Linked DNA regions of Rattus norvegicus. The protein of the gene in region 1 interacts with the protein of each later gene in a pairwise test. Links are inferred from orthologs where the notes say so. Each region holds a gene or a part of one and is shown on either strand. Other genes may lie near its edges. The genes, in order: Plin1 and Abhd5.

The links.
Region 2: the proteins of Plin1 (region 1) and Abhd5 interact in a protein complementation assay, tested with the Homo sapiens proteins (3 studies listed by BioGRID, with this or other methods). The link is inferred for Rattus norvegicus from reciprocal best matches to the Homo sapiens genes PLIN1 and ABHD5.

What each region holds. Positions count from the first base shown.
Region 1 is NC_086019.1:143,081,762-143,088,881, reverse strand, and holds the start of Plin1 (perilipin-1), read left to right. Parts: upstream 1-2,733; 5' UTR 2,734-2,749; exon of another isoform or gene 2,750-2,805; intron 2,806-3,353; 5' UTR 3,354-3,367; coding exon 3,368-3,412; intron 3,413-5,477; coding exon 5,478-5,682; intron 5,683-7,120. UniProt on the Homo sapiens protein: Modulator of adipocyte lipid metabolism. Coats lipid storage droplets to protect them from breakdown by hormone-sensitive lipase (HSL). Its absence may result in leanness. Plays a role in unilocular lipid droplet formation by activating CIDEC.
Region 2 is NC_086026.1:130,874,476-130,881,768, forward strand, and holds the start of Abhd5 (1-acylglycerol-3-phosphate O-acyltransferase ABHD5), read left to right. Parts: upstream 1-3,396; 5' UTR 3,397-3,436; coding exon 3,437-3,489; intron 3,490-3,680; exon of another isoform or gene 3,681-4,093; intron 4,094-5,291; exon of another isoform or gene 5,292-5,406; intron 5,407-7,293. UniProt on the Homo sapiens protein: Coenzyme A-dependent lysophosphatidic acid acyltransferase that catalyzes the transfer of an acyl group on a lysophosphatidic acid.

The DNA.
Region 1 (7,120 bases):
GATCCCATTACAGATGGTTGTGAGCCACCATGTGGTTGCTGGGATTTGAACTCAGGATCTCTGGAAGAGCAGTCAGTGCTCTTAACCTCTGAGCCATCTCTCCAGCCCCGAGAGTTCTTTTCTTTTCCACACTTTTCCACCTCTCTTCTTCCCCTTCAACCCCCTAACACTGGGTAAGAGAGAAATAAATCCCCGAATAAAGTCAGGTAGGAAGAAGGGCAACCATATTATTAGACTGCTCCCTGCCGATTAGGGGCATTGAGTTCCTCAGGGTGTGTTTGATCTTCACCCAGGATATCTAACTTCTTCTTTTCGTCTCTTTGCACACAACTACTTGGCAAACCACAACCAACCATTCCCAACTGCAACCAGCAGCATCCAGGCATGAGGTAAATCATAGTCACCGGCTCTGAAGCAGCCCCAAATCCCCAAACCTGGGATTAAAAGGAAAATATTCCCGTACTATTCCTGTGGTTTTTAAAGAAACCAACACTGTCGACAAGACTGCACAGGGCAGCACACTGACAGTTGAGCATTGCTGCCGAGCACTGACTCAGCAGTGGGGACCCTGCTTGGCTTGGGGGCCCGCCTGTGCACAGAATGGCCAAGAGCCCTGCTCTCCTGTAGTGGAGGGAGGGGAGCTGCATGAGATAGCTCGTCTCCGCCCATCCCCCTATAGTTGGAGAGCTGCCTCTCCCCCTCCCCCTCAGGATTTGCCTGGTTCTTTCCCTGGTCACCTTTTACCCACATTCTAGAATCTGTACCGAAGCAGCCAAAGGACCAGCTTTGTCAGCAGAGCTTTTAGGCACAGTGCCCTGTATCCTCTCTGGCCCAGAGCCACTGCCCGGGGAAGACAGACTGTCCTTTAGCCTGGGCTGTGCCCAGATGCGAGCCTCCAGATCACCCGTCCTGAACCTTGAAGCAAAGGGAGAGGCCACTTTACACGCTTGCCGCCTCCTCCACTGCTGTAAGAAGACAGCAGCAGCTCAGACCAAGATTAAAAAGTATCCAATGCTGCACACATTCATTACCTCTTTTGGAAGCTCCTTGCTCCACACCCCTCCCTTTCCTGGCATCTTGTTCCCTGTTTTATTATATACTAAAGATAAAATTTACCACCAAGGATCTATCTGTAGCTGTTTCTCAGATCCTTATTACATTTATGCATGTGTTTGGATTATGTGTGTGGCATGTACTCTGACTTACACACACACACACACACACACACACACACACACACTTATACACGTGCTCAAATGTCACAGCATGCATATAGAGGTCAGAGGACATCTTGCCAGGGTTACTTCTGTCCTTCAACTTTGGGGGGCCCAGGGATTGAACTCAAGCGGTCAGGCTTGGTGGCAATCACCTTGACCTGCTGAGCCATTTTGGCGACCCTGCCCAGTGCCTTTCTATCCTGTTGCCCACACTAACAACTTAGTAGACTCAATAACATGCAAATCTGCTAAGTAGGGACTAACATTAATGCTGTGCTCTCATTCACTGTGATTAAGAGGTGTAAAGACACCGGTTGGCACCACAGTGTTCCATCAACTTTAATCAGGAACTAAGATTTGAGCTTGGCTTGAGTCCCTGTTTTTTTTTTTTTTTTTCCGGAGCTGAGGACCGAGCCCAGGGCCTTGCACTTGCTAGGCGAGCACTCTACCACTGAGCTAAATCCCCAACCCCCGAGTCCCTGTTGAGGAAGGAATGGCAGCAGATAGTTCTTGGCTGCCTAGGTGCTATTGGTTGGCAAAAACAACCAACCAAACAGCAAACAAACAAACCCAGCTTGTCAACACCTTTACTTGTCCAGACTTAGGTGAACAAAACCAAATAGTTTCGTCCCTCTTTCCCTCTCTCCCTCTCTCTGTTCCTCCTTCCCCCTTTCCTTTCCTCAGTGCTGAAGATCAAAACCAGAGCCCTCCACACACTAAACAAGCAAGCCCTCTGCCATGGTGCTCCACCCCCCAGCCCCTGAGACACAAGCTTGCTGTTCAGCTCAGGCTACCCTCAAACTGTCAGTTCCACCTCAGCCTCCTGCGTTCTGGGAGTTGTTCTGTGGCTCGTGCCATGGTATCCAGCTTCAAGAGGTTTTCTCTAGCTTTGGAGGTTTACAGAGGATGAAACTACTCCTCAGAACCCAGGTTGCTAAGAAGTCAACTCTCACTGCTCTATCTTGTCTCTCTTTTGGCCGGAAATTAATCTTGATAGCGGTAGACTAAACATTAAGGTGAACCCTATCCCTGTGTGGGTTTGAATCATGCCGTTCAATAGTCATCCTTGCTAGCAAACAAGAAAGGATGGGGTAATGATTGAATATTGTCCCATAAAAACTTCTCTGGAAAGGGACCAAAGATTATAGAATTACATGGAACTTTGAGTTTAGGAGTTTAATGAGCCACATTGCAGTGGCTTCTTTATGGAAAGCAATTTTTTTTTGTCAATTGAGAGCCAGAAATATTCTGGAACTACCATCTCTGGGCTCTGACAAATGAGTCCTTCAGCCCTGAGAACCACCTCTTTATTGGCTAAGTATCCTCCATAGAAGTTAGGGTGAGCCCAGGGGACACCCTGGCTCAGACAGCTATGGTGACGGGCTGGCCCAGCTTTCTCTTCCTCTTTGCCCTCCTCCAGCTGGGAGGTCTGAGAGGCATTGCCCAAGATTCCCTGGAGTGGCTGGAAGTGTTTCTGGGGAGGAGACCATCCACAGCTGGGTTGTCTGAGATTGAGGTGGCTCTCAGCTGCAGTGAGTGTAGGGTCCTTGGGTGTCTGCCTTACCTGGTTGCTTTCTCAGTGTTAAAGGCAAGGAGCTGGGAGAGAGAGCATCTGGGGAAATTACCAAGGGATGCAGAGATCTGCAGGGAGAGCCCTGAGGAAAAGAATAAAAGACCAGGGGCACAGGGGGACCATTGGCTTACCCAGAAGACAGCTCTTTGCGAGAAGGCTTAACTTAGCTGGCAATAGAGGGAAACAGGGGTTAACTAGAATTTTGTTGTGAAGAAAAGACTAAACTCTACCCAACACTCATTCTTTAGTCTCTTTCAGTGTCTCTTTTTAAGAGTCCCAGATTTTGTTCTAAACTGTTTCTCCCATCTCATTCTCTTTGTCTAATTGCCTCCATTTTCATCTACCTTGAGCCCTTTAAAAAAAGATCACTTTTGAGCTCATTTTGGGCAGACTGGGGGACTTGTGTTGGGACTCCAAGGAGCAGCCTTTCCTAGATGATATTTGCCCTCCAACCTAGGCCAGCTGAGCTCAGGATGGCTGGAGGACAGCTGTGAGAGGTAGGGAGGGAACCCATGGAATACAAGCCTGCCGGCTTCTGATGGATCTGGGATTCTGCTTTGCAGTGTGAAGAGTAAGGATGTCCATGAACAAGGGCCCGACCCTGCTGGATGGAGACCTCCCTGTAAGTGACCTGGACTCCTGTGAGGTGGGGAATGGGCCACCAAAGGGGGAGGGATGAACAAGTAAGATGTCTGTCTACCTTAGGTTCCGAACTCAGTGTCTCTGTTATTCCTGTCCTTGCCACCTTTCACGGGTGTTTGGGAGAACGGAGGGGAGAAGAGGTGGCTATAGAAGTCTAAGAACTGTGGAGAAAAGAATAGGAATGCGGGCTGGGGCCTCAGGAGAGACAAGGGGAAGAAACCTCCTGGTCCTAAACCCAGAAGAGTGTGCATGTCCTAGAGAGTCCATTGTTCTGTGGCTTCAGCTTGAGCCCGTGACCCTCATCTGCAGCACGAAGCCTGTGCGACCATGCGTGGGAATGAATTGGAAGTTTAGTGTGTCCAGTTTTTATCTCTAGCCCTGGTTTTGAGTAATTCTGATACTTTTATGTGTTCTTGATATCTTTTGCCTCTTTGCTTTGGGCTGAGTTCAGATAGTGAAATTCAGGCATGTGACCCTGGAGGAGATGAAACTCATTCTATTAGGATCTAACTAAGCTCCGCACTAGGGGCGACTGCCTTGTTTTGTACTGAATCAAGAGAGAGGTGTCAGTGGGTCACAAGAAACCTTAACCCTTCTAACTAACGATTAGTGGTTTCTTCCATTTCCCTCTCGTTTCTCCTTTAGCTTTGTCCGAAACAAGCCTTGAATGCTCTGCCCAAAACGTTGAAGAGGGTGTTTCCTTTTGTAGTCAGAATCCCTTTCTCCCTCTGATATCTGACTCGCTTGCAGGATGAAAAGCTAAAATCGTGTGGGCTGCTTTGTTCAGGAGCCCAGGCAGCCTTCCCTGATGGCTCTGTTAACTCCTCCTGCAAGTAGGGTAGCATCTACGGCAAACTACAGTAAAGATTAAGAGAGCTCAAGGCAGTATCCTAGAGCATTATAGCCTCCACTGAATGTTGTTTCCTACCCCACGACGAGAATCACTCTCTCACTCACAGATTGGGCCTTTCTAAAATCTAATCATGCAAGTGCTGACAAAGCAAAATGCTTTGATAACATAGCATCCAAATAAGAAGAGATGTCCACACCACGTCCCACAGGACCAGGCTCATCGGACTATCAGCTTAAACATGGAGTGTTGTATTTTAACGAAGGCCATGCCAAATTTTAGAGTGTCAAGAGGAAAGGATCGCAGGTCTGTCCAGTGACCCATTTATAAACTAAGACAGGAACTGGCCAGGCGGTGGTGGTGCATGCCTTTAGCCCTAACACTTGGGAGGCAAAGGCAGAAAGATCTCTGTGAGTTTAAGGCCAGCCTGGTCTATACAGTGAATTCCAGGACAGCCAGAGCTACACAGTGAGACCCTGTATCAAAACAGGTACTGGGGACTAGCGGCCATTCTCCTGGGAGAAAGGTAACCAGAGCAGGGTGGCAGAGGAAGACAGCCCAAGGGCAGACATAATCATAAAGGCAGAGAGCCAAAAATTGGTCCTAGCGGCACACGACACAGGCTTTTAATCCCATCACTGGGAGTTCAAGGTCATCCTCAACTATATATATAGAGTTCAAGGCTATCCAGGGTTACAAGAGATGTGCACCACCTGTCTCACAGAGGAGGTCATAGAAGAGAATAATATTCTATTACACCAAAAGGGATGGGGGAGGGGAGGAGAGCCTATTTGGCAGTGGTCCAGCATCCAGACGCAGGTCCAGCATCTCAGAAGGACCTTGAAAATGTTTAGATGAAGATATGAGTTGAAGGTGGACTAAACTTCCCAAGCATTATCTTTCTCTCTGTAGTCAGTCAAGAGGGATGAGTTGGGAGGAGATGGGATTTGGCTTGGTTCCCAGAGAACACGGATTGCTTGAGAATTTCTCCAGAGTCCAGGAAGGCATAGCAGGCTGGGTCCCATGTTTTCTGTTGGCTTCCTCGTGCTCTCATGAGCAGGCCATTTGGAGATACGTTGCTTCCTTTAGACTTGGGCTGGCCTCGATAACGTGACCCTTGCATGGTTCTAGCAAGGGTCAGCTCTCTGGGAGGTAGAGTGGGGGTGGGAGTATCTGACTCTTTCTTTGCTGACAGGAACAGGAGAATGTGCTCCAGAGAGTCCTGCAGCTGCCTGTGGTGAGCGGGACCTGTGAGTGCTTCCAGAAGACCTATAACAGCACCAAAGAAGCCCACCCCCTGGTGGCCTCTGTGTGCAATGCCTATGAGAAGGGTGTACAGGGTGCCAGCAACCTGGCTGCCTGGAGCATGGAGCCGGTGGTCCGCCGGCTCTCCACCCAGTGTGAGTCCTCAGAGAACTCCGTGGCATCCTGCCCGTCCACTGATACTCCCCGCATGTCTGCCTGTCTGCTTGTCAGTCTGTCTGATCATCTCACAACTCATTTGTCCACCTCCCTGACTCCTTCCCTTGCTTATCTATATCCAACTTCCTGGTCTTCTCCGCTACAGACATATGTCTATATTTGCCTCAGTTGTAGCCCAGCCTAACAGCCAAAAAATGCTAGGGGGTTGAGGGAGTAAGAGAGGGGGAAGGTGAGCAACGATCTGTGAGCAGCGGTGAGAGTAGGGCCAGTGGCAGGACATTTAGCCACCCCAACTCCATATGCAAGAAAAGCAGCAGTATCCCGAACCAGCAGAATCTCGCGCGAAAACTGGCCTAGCAGCGCTGAAGGTTCAGGGATAGAGAAGGCCCACTCATCCAGCTGCTGCTGATACTGGTTCCCGACAGGTGGGGGCAGCAGAGAGCGACTGGCGGCAGAAACAAGGGTCCATCCAGGCTCGCCTCATCAGGCTCGCCCCATCTGCGTCATTCTGCCTCCATCTGAAAGTATGGTTTCTAAGACTTATTTTGGCAGGGCTGAGGGAACTCTCAGCAGCACCGAGAAATCTAGCACCTTCTATCATCCTGATAGAGGCTTGCGGGTAATGTGAGGATTCTACCCAGCAACCAGGTAAAGAAGACTTTAAGGCTCCACTTAAAATCTGTGGTCACATAGATGGCCCTGGCTGAATTCTGTGAGCGATAAAACAAAACGAAATGATAAGAACATGAGACACGAACATAGGGGTTGACAGAAGTGGGAGGGGGATTGAGAAGACGCAGGGATAAGAGTAGAAAATACACCACATGCGTGAATACGGTTGTCCAAGAAAAAGTACATTCAATTACTGATAAGATAATAAAAATGTCTCAGGCCCTAGGCTAGCCCTCCCAAAAGCCTTCATTCTGTTCAACCAAAAGACAGCCAAGTCCTCTGGGCTTTTTGTTACTTGAAAGAAATATGAAAGAGTGTCTATAAATACCCTTTGAATCTGTGCCTTCCATGGCCTTGACCACAGAGCCTGCATCCTCAGCAGACCGTGGGCAGTCTCCCCTGACACGTCTGCATCCTCTGTGGTTTGTCCCACTCCCCAGGGACAACGTTTTTCTCCTCCCAGTGGCTCCCGTCAGCTTTCTGCCATCTTGGTAGTTGGGGGTTAAAGCTGGTTCTAGGGACCATCTGGAGCGTCTCTGGCTGTGGCTGTGAATTCATCATTTCCAGAACTAAGCAAGCCTGGTCTCACTGAGGTCAATGCAAAGGCCCCGGTGCCACCTCCCTCGCTTCCACATGATTCACAGGGCTGCCATCACTACAGGCTTGCTCATCCGACCGCAGAACCTCAGAAGCTGGTGGTTCTGACTCCTGACAGGAGGGGGCAGCAGAGAGCTCCTGCCCAGG
Region 2 (7,293 bases), on another chromosome or scaffold:
GTCTGCCCCACTCCCCTTATCTCTGCTTCCTAGCAAGCATGAGGTAAGCACATCTTCTCAGCTCCCACATGAGGTACTAAGTCGCCACAAGTTTATAGTGGTCTGACTGGAGCCATATTGTTTCCTCTCTGAGGCTGAATAATATAAATAAAATCATCAGGACAAATGTTTCATCTCACACAAAAAATTAACTTTTTGGTCTATAGGCTGGTTATAACCTGTAAGGTAGAGATTATCAGTTTTTGAAGACTCATTACAAGCTGTTAGCAACAGCCAAGAGTTCCTATAAAACTATTTTTTATAGGTCTCCATCTTCCTAAAATATCAGACAGAATGAGGCATATTACTTACCACCATGTTTAAGAGGTTATGGGTAGCTTCCCCTTCCTTTAAACCACAGACAATACCACAACTTCAAAATGCTTTTGCTGTCACGGAAACGGTATCTGGTAATATCCGTTTAAAAAGCTGTAAGCATGGGCCAGCAAGATGGCTCAGTGGGGAAAGGTGACTGCTGCCAAGTCTGGCACCTGAGGACCAATTCCAGCACAGCGTTCTCTGACTGCTACACACTAACCACAGCATGGGCACCCCGAACCCAAACACACGCTCATAAAGTCAGTATGATGATTTCTACGAAGCTGCCACCACTGGAGAAAGTCCGAGAACTGGGCTGGAGAGATGGCTCAGAGGTTGAGAGCACTGGCTGCTCTTCCAGAGGCCCTGAGTTCAATTCCCAGCAACCACATGGTGGTTCACAACCATCTGTAATGAGATCTGACACCTTCTTCTGGTGTGTCTGAAGACGGCTACAGTGTACTCACATACATAAATCTTAAAAAAAAATTGAGAACTACAGGGAGTGGGTCTCAGAGATGGGAAAAAAAGATTGCAGTGAGGGAGGAAAGCCAGAAGTTTAAATATGTCCCCAGCGTTCTCATACTGGAAGCTCAACCCATGTAGTGGTATTGAAAGGCGAGCCCTAAGGGCAGAATTTGGGCCACAGTGATGCTCCTTTCATGCATCAATTAATGCCTTCATCTTGGGAGTCAGTTTTGGGGGAGTAGGTTTCTTATTGGGCCCCTTTCTTGCTGTATTTGCCATGAGATGAACAGCAAAGGCCCTCGTTGTATACCACAGAAGCATGGCAGTCCTCACAGCCCCCAGCACCACGAGAGACAAACCTGTCTGTTGTAAATGACTCGTCGAGGTGTTCCTCTACAGCGGCTAACGTGGTCTAAGATGGAGAAAGATGATGGGGTCTTAAATAAAGGGTAGCATGGGCTTCATGAAGGCCAGAGTCCTGTCATCCCAGCCTCAACACACTGCGGTTACAGAGTAAGGGTATGCTAACTGTGGGTAAGTATGTGGGAGTGAATACATCCTCACAAGTAGGTAGAAGCTGATGATTGGAGAAAGGTAATTTTAAATTAAAGTAATGAAGGGAATAAAAACGTTGATATTTACATCATCCATTTGCCTCCCCCCCCCAAAAAAAATCCAGAGGGTAGCGGGAGTGTTTCTGTTCAAACCCATATCCGCACACCTGCCCTTTGTTAGATCTCTGTGAAAGGGGCGCGCCACACATTTGTGGCCTCATTAGAATGATTTGGGGGCTCGAGTGATGGCTCAGCGGTTAAGAGCACTGACTGATCTTCCCAAGGTCCTGAGTTCAATTCCCAGCAACCACATGGTGGCTCACAGCCATCTGTAATGGGATCCAACGCCCTCTCTGGTGTGTCTGAAGATAGTTACAGTGTACTCATATATGAAATAAATAAATCTTTAAAAAAGAATGATTTGAAAACTCAGTCAGCGTACATCAGGCTCCTGAGCAGCCCCAGGCATCAGTAGCACCCAGGTGTGGCTGAACTAAGGAACCTATTACATATTCTCAGAAGTTCACTTTTTGGGGCACGGGGATAAGGGAGGTAATGAGAATTGGACCTAGGAACTGATGCATAGAGGGCCCACTGAGCTACACAGCCCTAGCTTTGAGCAGCTCATCAGGAGCACAAAGAGCTAGGCTACCTCATACCACTTTCTCCTGACCCGAGGGACCTGCCCCCAGCCAAGGGAAACATCCCTTATGCAACACTAGGATGCCTATATTGTTTAATCACAGTGAGTGTCATGGTTCCAAATTCTATTTTTAAAACACAGCCTTGGACTTAAACACTAGCCTTGCTAGCTGCCGGCTTCTATTTTCCTGTGCTGAGCTTCCCTCTCTGTCACTTTCACTCACTCGCCAACGTCCCTGAGCCAGAAAAGAATTAAAATAATCCCATGTGGGGTGGTGGTGGTGGTTTATGGTTTTAAAAAGATTTGTTTTTTTAGAATTATGTTTATGTGTGTGCCTGCTTGTCTGTATGTGCATATACATTAAGGTGCTCCGAGGTGAAGAGGGTGTTGCTCCTCTGGAACTGGTGTTACAAGCAGTTGTGGGGGCTGCACAAGGATGCTGGAAATAGACTCCATTCTCCTCTATAAGGACAGTATGCTCCCTCAACCACGGAGCCATCCCTCGAGCCCCGTCCCCTTTACATTTATTTATTTTAAAGACAGGGTCTCACTGTGTAGCTCTGGCTGGCCTGGAACTCTCTATGTAGATCAGGTTGGTCCAACTCACAGAAATGTGCTCGCCTCCAACTCCCAAGTGTTGTTGTGAAGGGCATGTACCATCACGTCCAGCTCACGAGAATATTTATTTGAGAATATTTTATGAGCCCTCAGACCTCTATCATTTCAGAATGGATTCTAGGAAGCTTCTCCCCCCGCACCCCTCCCGCGATCATGGTGGGTGGTAATGGTGTGTGTGTGTGTGTGTGTGTGTAATTCTAGTACCTACACATATGCTCTCAGACTTCTCATGTCTAGAGTCTGGCAGCGGGGAGTGCAGGTTAGGGTCAGAGCAGTGTCCACTCAGACTGCGGTTGGACTGTAGGGTCCAGTGAGCCGCCCTCTCCCAGTGGCCACCTCCTGAAAGGAAGGGCTGGAGGGGCCACCACCACGCTGAGGATGCGCACCTCTGCCTTGTGTCTCGGACTCAGGCTGTCTCTGGCTGGCATCTCACTTCAGGCTGTGGATGGCTTGCCTAGAGCGCCGTCCAGGGCAGTCCGGCCCGGCGGAATGACGCATTAATGGTCATTATTCTGATGGATGACTACCTAGGCTCCCGCGGCGTCGGGCTGACCTTCCTAACCAGTGCCCCCGCCTCCGCGCGACAGGCGACAGGCGGGCAGCGCATGCGTATCTGTGAGGCCCGGCTGCAGGGACGCCGAGCCTGCCGTGGCGCGGCCGCGCCCTCGGATCGTCCCGGCGCGCGGCCGACGCATGCGCGGGCGGCGCGGTCTTAAGGGCGGCCGCGGCCGGGGGCCGCCCAGTCGGCCTGTCAGCCGGCTTCGAGGTGCCTTCCTGCGCTTGCGCGGCGGCAGTGATGAAAGCGATGGCGGCGGAGGAGGAGGTGGACTCGGCAGACGCCGGTGGAGGGTGAGGATCACCCGGGAAGGGGGACGGCGTGGGTCTCGTGCGCTCTGGCGACCCCGGGCGGCCAGCCGAGGGAAGGCGCGGGCGTCCGCTCTCCCGGTCCGTCGGGGCTGACAGGCAGCGCCCGGGCCGCGGGGCTACGGGGAGGGAGGGCGGCCGTCCGGGCGGTCCGGAGCTCGGCGGAGCTCGGAACTCCGCGCCGGGTCCCGGCCGCCTTCCCTGGACGCGTGAGCTGGGCGTCGCCAGGGTGGGAGTAGGCGTCGGACGCGGAGTCCCTCGGGACGGCCGTCCGTCGGCGGTGTGGGAGCTCAGGACCCGGGGCGCTCGCGTCCCACCTCCCGCTGCCTTGTGCGCTCCCGTGACCCGGCGGTCTGGCTTCATTAGAAAAGTCGGCTGGAGTCTTCTCGGCAGCAAACTTTGTGAAAGTTGAAGGGCAGATGCCTAACAGGAAGCCCTTTAAGTTTTTGTTTTGTTTTGTTTTGTTTGTTTGAAAACCGGGGTCGCTCAGTGTTTGCCCTGGCTGGCCTGGAAATCTGTAGACCAGGCTTGTTTCAGATCTACAGAGACCCAATCCCTTTGCCTCAGCTGCCCAGTGCTGGGATCACAGGTGGGAACCACCATACCCAACTTTTTGATAGACATCTTAAGTTATTCTTTTCTGTCTGTCTTTGATATAACGTGTCCTTGTGAGTAGAATAATGCTTGGTGGAAAAGTTAAATTACTATGGAAGTTTTATTTCACTATGATCCTCAGAAGGCTACTTGTTTTGTATGGACAGGACTATACTTATAAATTAAGTACTTTCACAAGTTCTACTTCAGCTAGTTGGAGACATTTGCATAGGGAAAATAGATTCTGGTAATGTGAAAGCCAAGTATTTTGGAAAGATGTTAGGGGAGGAATATTTTGAAACATTAGAAACTACACTCTCCAAGTTTTGTTTAAGTGATAACTAACAGGTGGAGCTCACTGCTTTGGTCTGTTGTTGAACTTCCTAATTACATTGATATGAAATACAGAGTGTCGTGTGGTACAACCAGGACCTGTGTTTCTATTAAATTTGCCAAGACATTTTCTGGCTCCGAGAGTTCTAACTTGTGGGCCCTTTTGGTCTTGATACCGTGAGACTCAGGAATTGTGAGGCTCAGGAATCCGTAGCACGACAGTAAGAGTGACAGAGCATGGGTGATGGCTGGAGGTCACTGAGGGCAAGACTGGCCACAGTCCCTAGACAGAGGTAGACCTCCCTGGTATTTTTGGCAGGACCCTGGAGCAGTGCTGCACAACCAAGCAAGCAGAGAGAAGGCTAGGTTCCTGCTGGGTGCTCCATCAGTGTGGACATGATAGTCCTAGAGTCTCCCTGGTGTGGGGAATCTGACCACTCCCATTTTCATCTGGAGTTGCCACCTCCGAGTAGCAGAGCTAATTGGAGCCTACCTGCTTCTTCAGGTGTCTAAATTGAGCTTTAAGGCGTTTCCCTCACATTTCTTTCTAACTTTATACACATGGGGAGATGATGTTAATAAAGCAAGCCATTATAAGCTGCCAGCTTACAGCGTTTTGGAGCATATAATTCTTCCCCTTTGTGGCTCTTCGTGGAGACAAGTTTACTGGGAAGCTTTCAAAATCCTATCCCTTTCAGTTGCAATACAGTTGAGAAAGCCAAATATAACAAGAATAGGGTAGATTTCTGGGGATTGCTTTAATGATATCCCAGAGAGTTATGTACTGGTAGAGTGTGGGGGAAAACGCCATCACAGAAATTCACCATTCAGAGTAGACCAAGAACCTTTGTGGTTTTCAGGGCATGCTGGAGTTGATCTGTACCATTGCTGAATGTTCAGGAATTCTACAGCACCAGCATCCTGAAACCAGCCACCGTGGGAGTATTTATACCATGGAAAATCATACTTTATTAAGTAAGACCGATTTCTCTCTACTGCCTCAGTTGATTTTCCAGCATCCTGCTGGATATGTGTTAAAGTCTCTGTATGTTCCTGTGCTTTGGAGATTAAAGATGAACTTCTTTATTGTACCTCCTAAAACACTAAGATTTATACATTTCTCCTGCTGCTACTGCTCTGTAATCCTTGCCCCAAGACTTTAAAAATCATGAAATTCTTCAATACTAATCCCAATGCCTGTGCTTATTTGCTACTCTTTCACACACACACAGAAACACACCTCTCATACTCTCATACTCTCATACACACACACACACACACACACACACACACCCTGATCTCAAGACCTCATGTGAGCATTGTGCCACTGAGCTACATCCCCCAGCCCTCTTGTGTCCTCTTCAGTGATCAGTACTATAGAGAATCTCTTATTTAGACAGCTAACTCATACTTGTTTACTCTCTTAACCGAGACCGGTAATTAGTTTTATTAGGTTCTATTCTTTTAATTATTTTCTAAATACAAGAATTCCCCATGAGCGTATTATAGTCTTTTTATTTTTTTTTAATTTATGAACAGTTCTTGAACTATCTTTTCTTTGAAGAACTGAGATCTCATTCTCTTCTGGACTGGAGTAAGGGTACTGTTTGTGTTTGCCAGCTGTTTGTATCTACTTTTTCACATTCAACATGGTTAGGCCATACCTTACTTATGTCTTCCTTCCTTTAATCAGTGTAAAGTGCACAGCTCACTCCTCTACTCTTTTTTGAAGGCAGTTGCATTCTTCTGGTTATCTACACTCTTAGAACTGGCTTCTGTCAGATTTGTTCCCTTTGTTGCCTCTGGATAGCAAATCAATTATCAAGTCCCCATAGAGTCTAACAACCTGCCCTTTCTCGTTCCACTACTACCCAGGAGCCACCTACTTCAAACACTCTTGTTCTTTCCTAGGGCATTTGTAGGGTTGGTAACACCATTGCCCGTAGCTCATTTTTTTACTTCCTTTGTTAGTTACGGTTTGTCCCCAGCCTGACTGCAAAGCCATTTGGAATCTGTGTGGCTTCCACTTAGGTCTGTGCACCTGACTCTAACTCTGGAAAGCCATATTCTCATGCTTACTAAACACATTCCTTGCTTCCCTTTGTTTTCCTTTGTTTTCTGTAACCCAACATTGATTGTTATCTTCTTTATATAAGGTCATGGTATTTTGTATGTTGGTGTGATGCACGCATGTGTGTGTGCGTGTGTGTGTGTGTGTGTGTGTGTGTGTGTGTGTGCGTGCGTGTGTGCTGCATGTGGAAGCCAGATGAGGAAGGGCAGCCAGGCAGGTTACTCTCTGCCTTACTCCTGAGGCACAGGGTCTCTCACTAGGCCTGAAGCTTGCTGTTCTGGAGAGTCCGGCTCCTGGGATGCTAGGACGTGTCTCCTCACATGGGTACTAGGATCTGAACTCAGGTCCTCATGTTTGTACAGCAAGTGTTTTTTACCCATTGAGTGATCTCCTCAGCCCGCATGGCATTTCTTAAGTTTTTTGAAGTTGTGGCCTTGGACTTTTGAGCTTTCTGCCTCTACTTCCCAAGTGGCAGGATCGCGGCCATGCACCACCACAACCAGCTCTGAAGCTGCTTTGTCTCACATAGATTCTATTTAATAATACACTTATTTATATACTTATTTTTGTCAGATCAGAACAAAGCTTTTGTTTATTCAAATGTTTGGCAGAGTCCAAAGGGGCTTTATAAATGGTAATCCTCAATTTCTTATTAAACCTTTGGCATTTGGGAATGTTTGTGTTGGAATAGATCAACAATTAGAATCAGACATCTAAACTTCCCGGGGATATTGGAAACAGGATTCTATTTCTTGACCTAACATGAACCAACCCCTGGCCCTCTGTTCCTG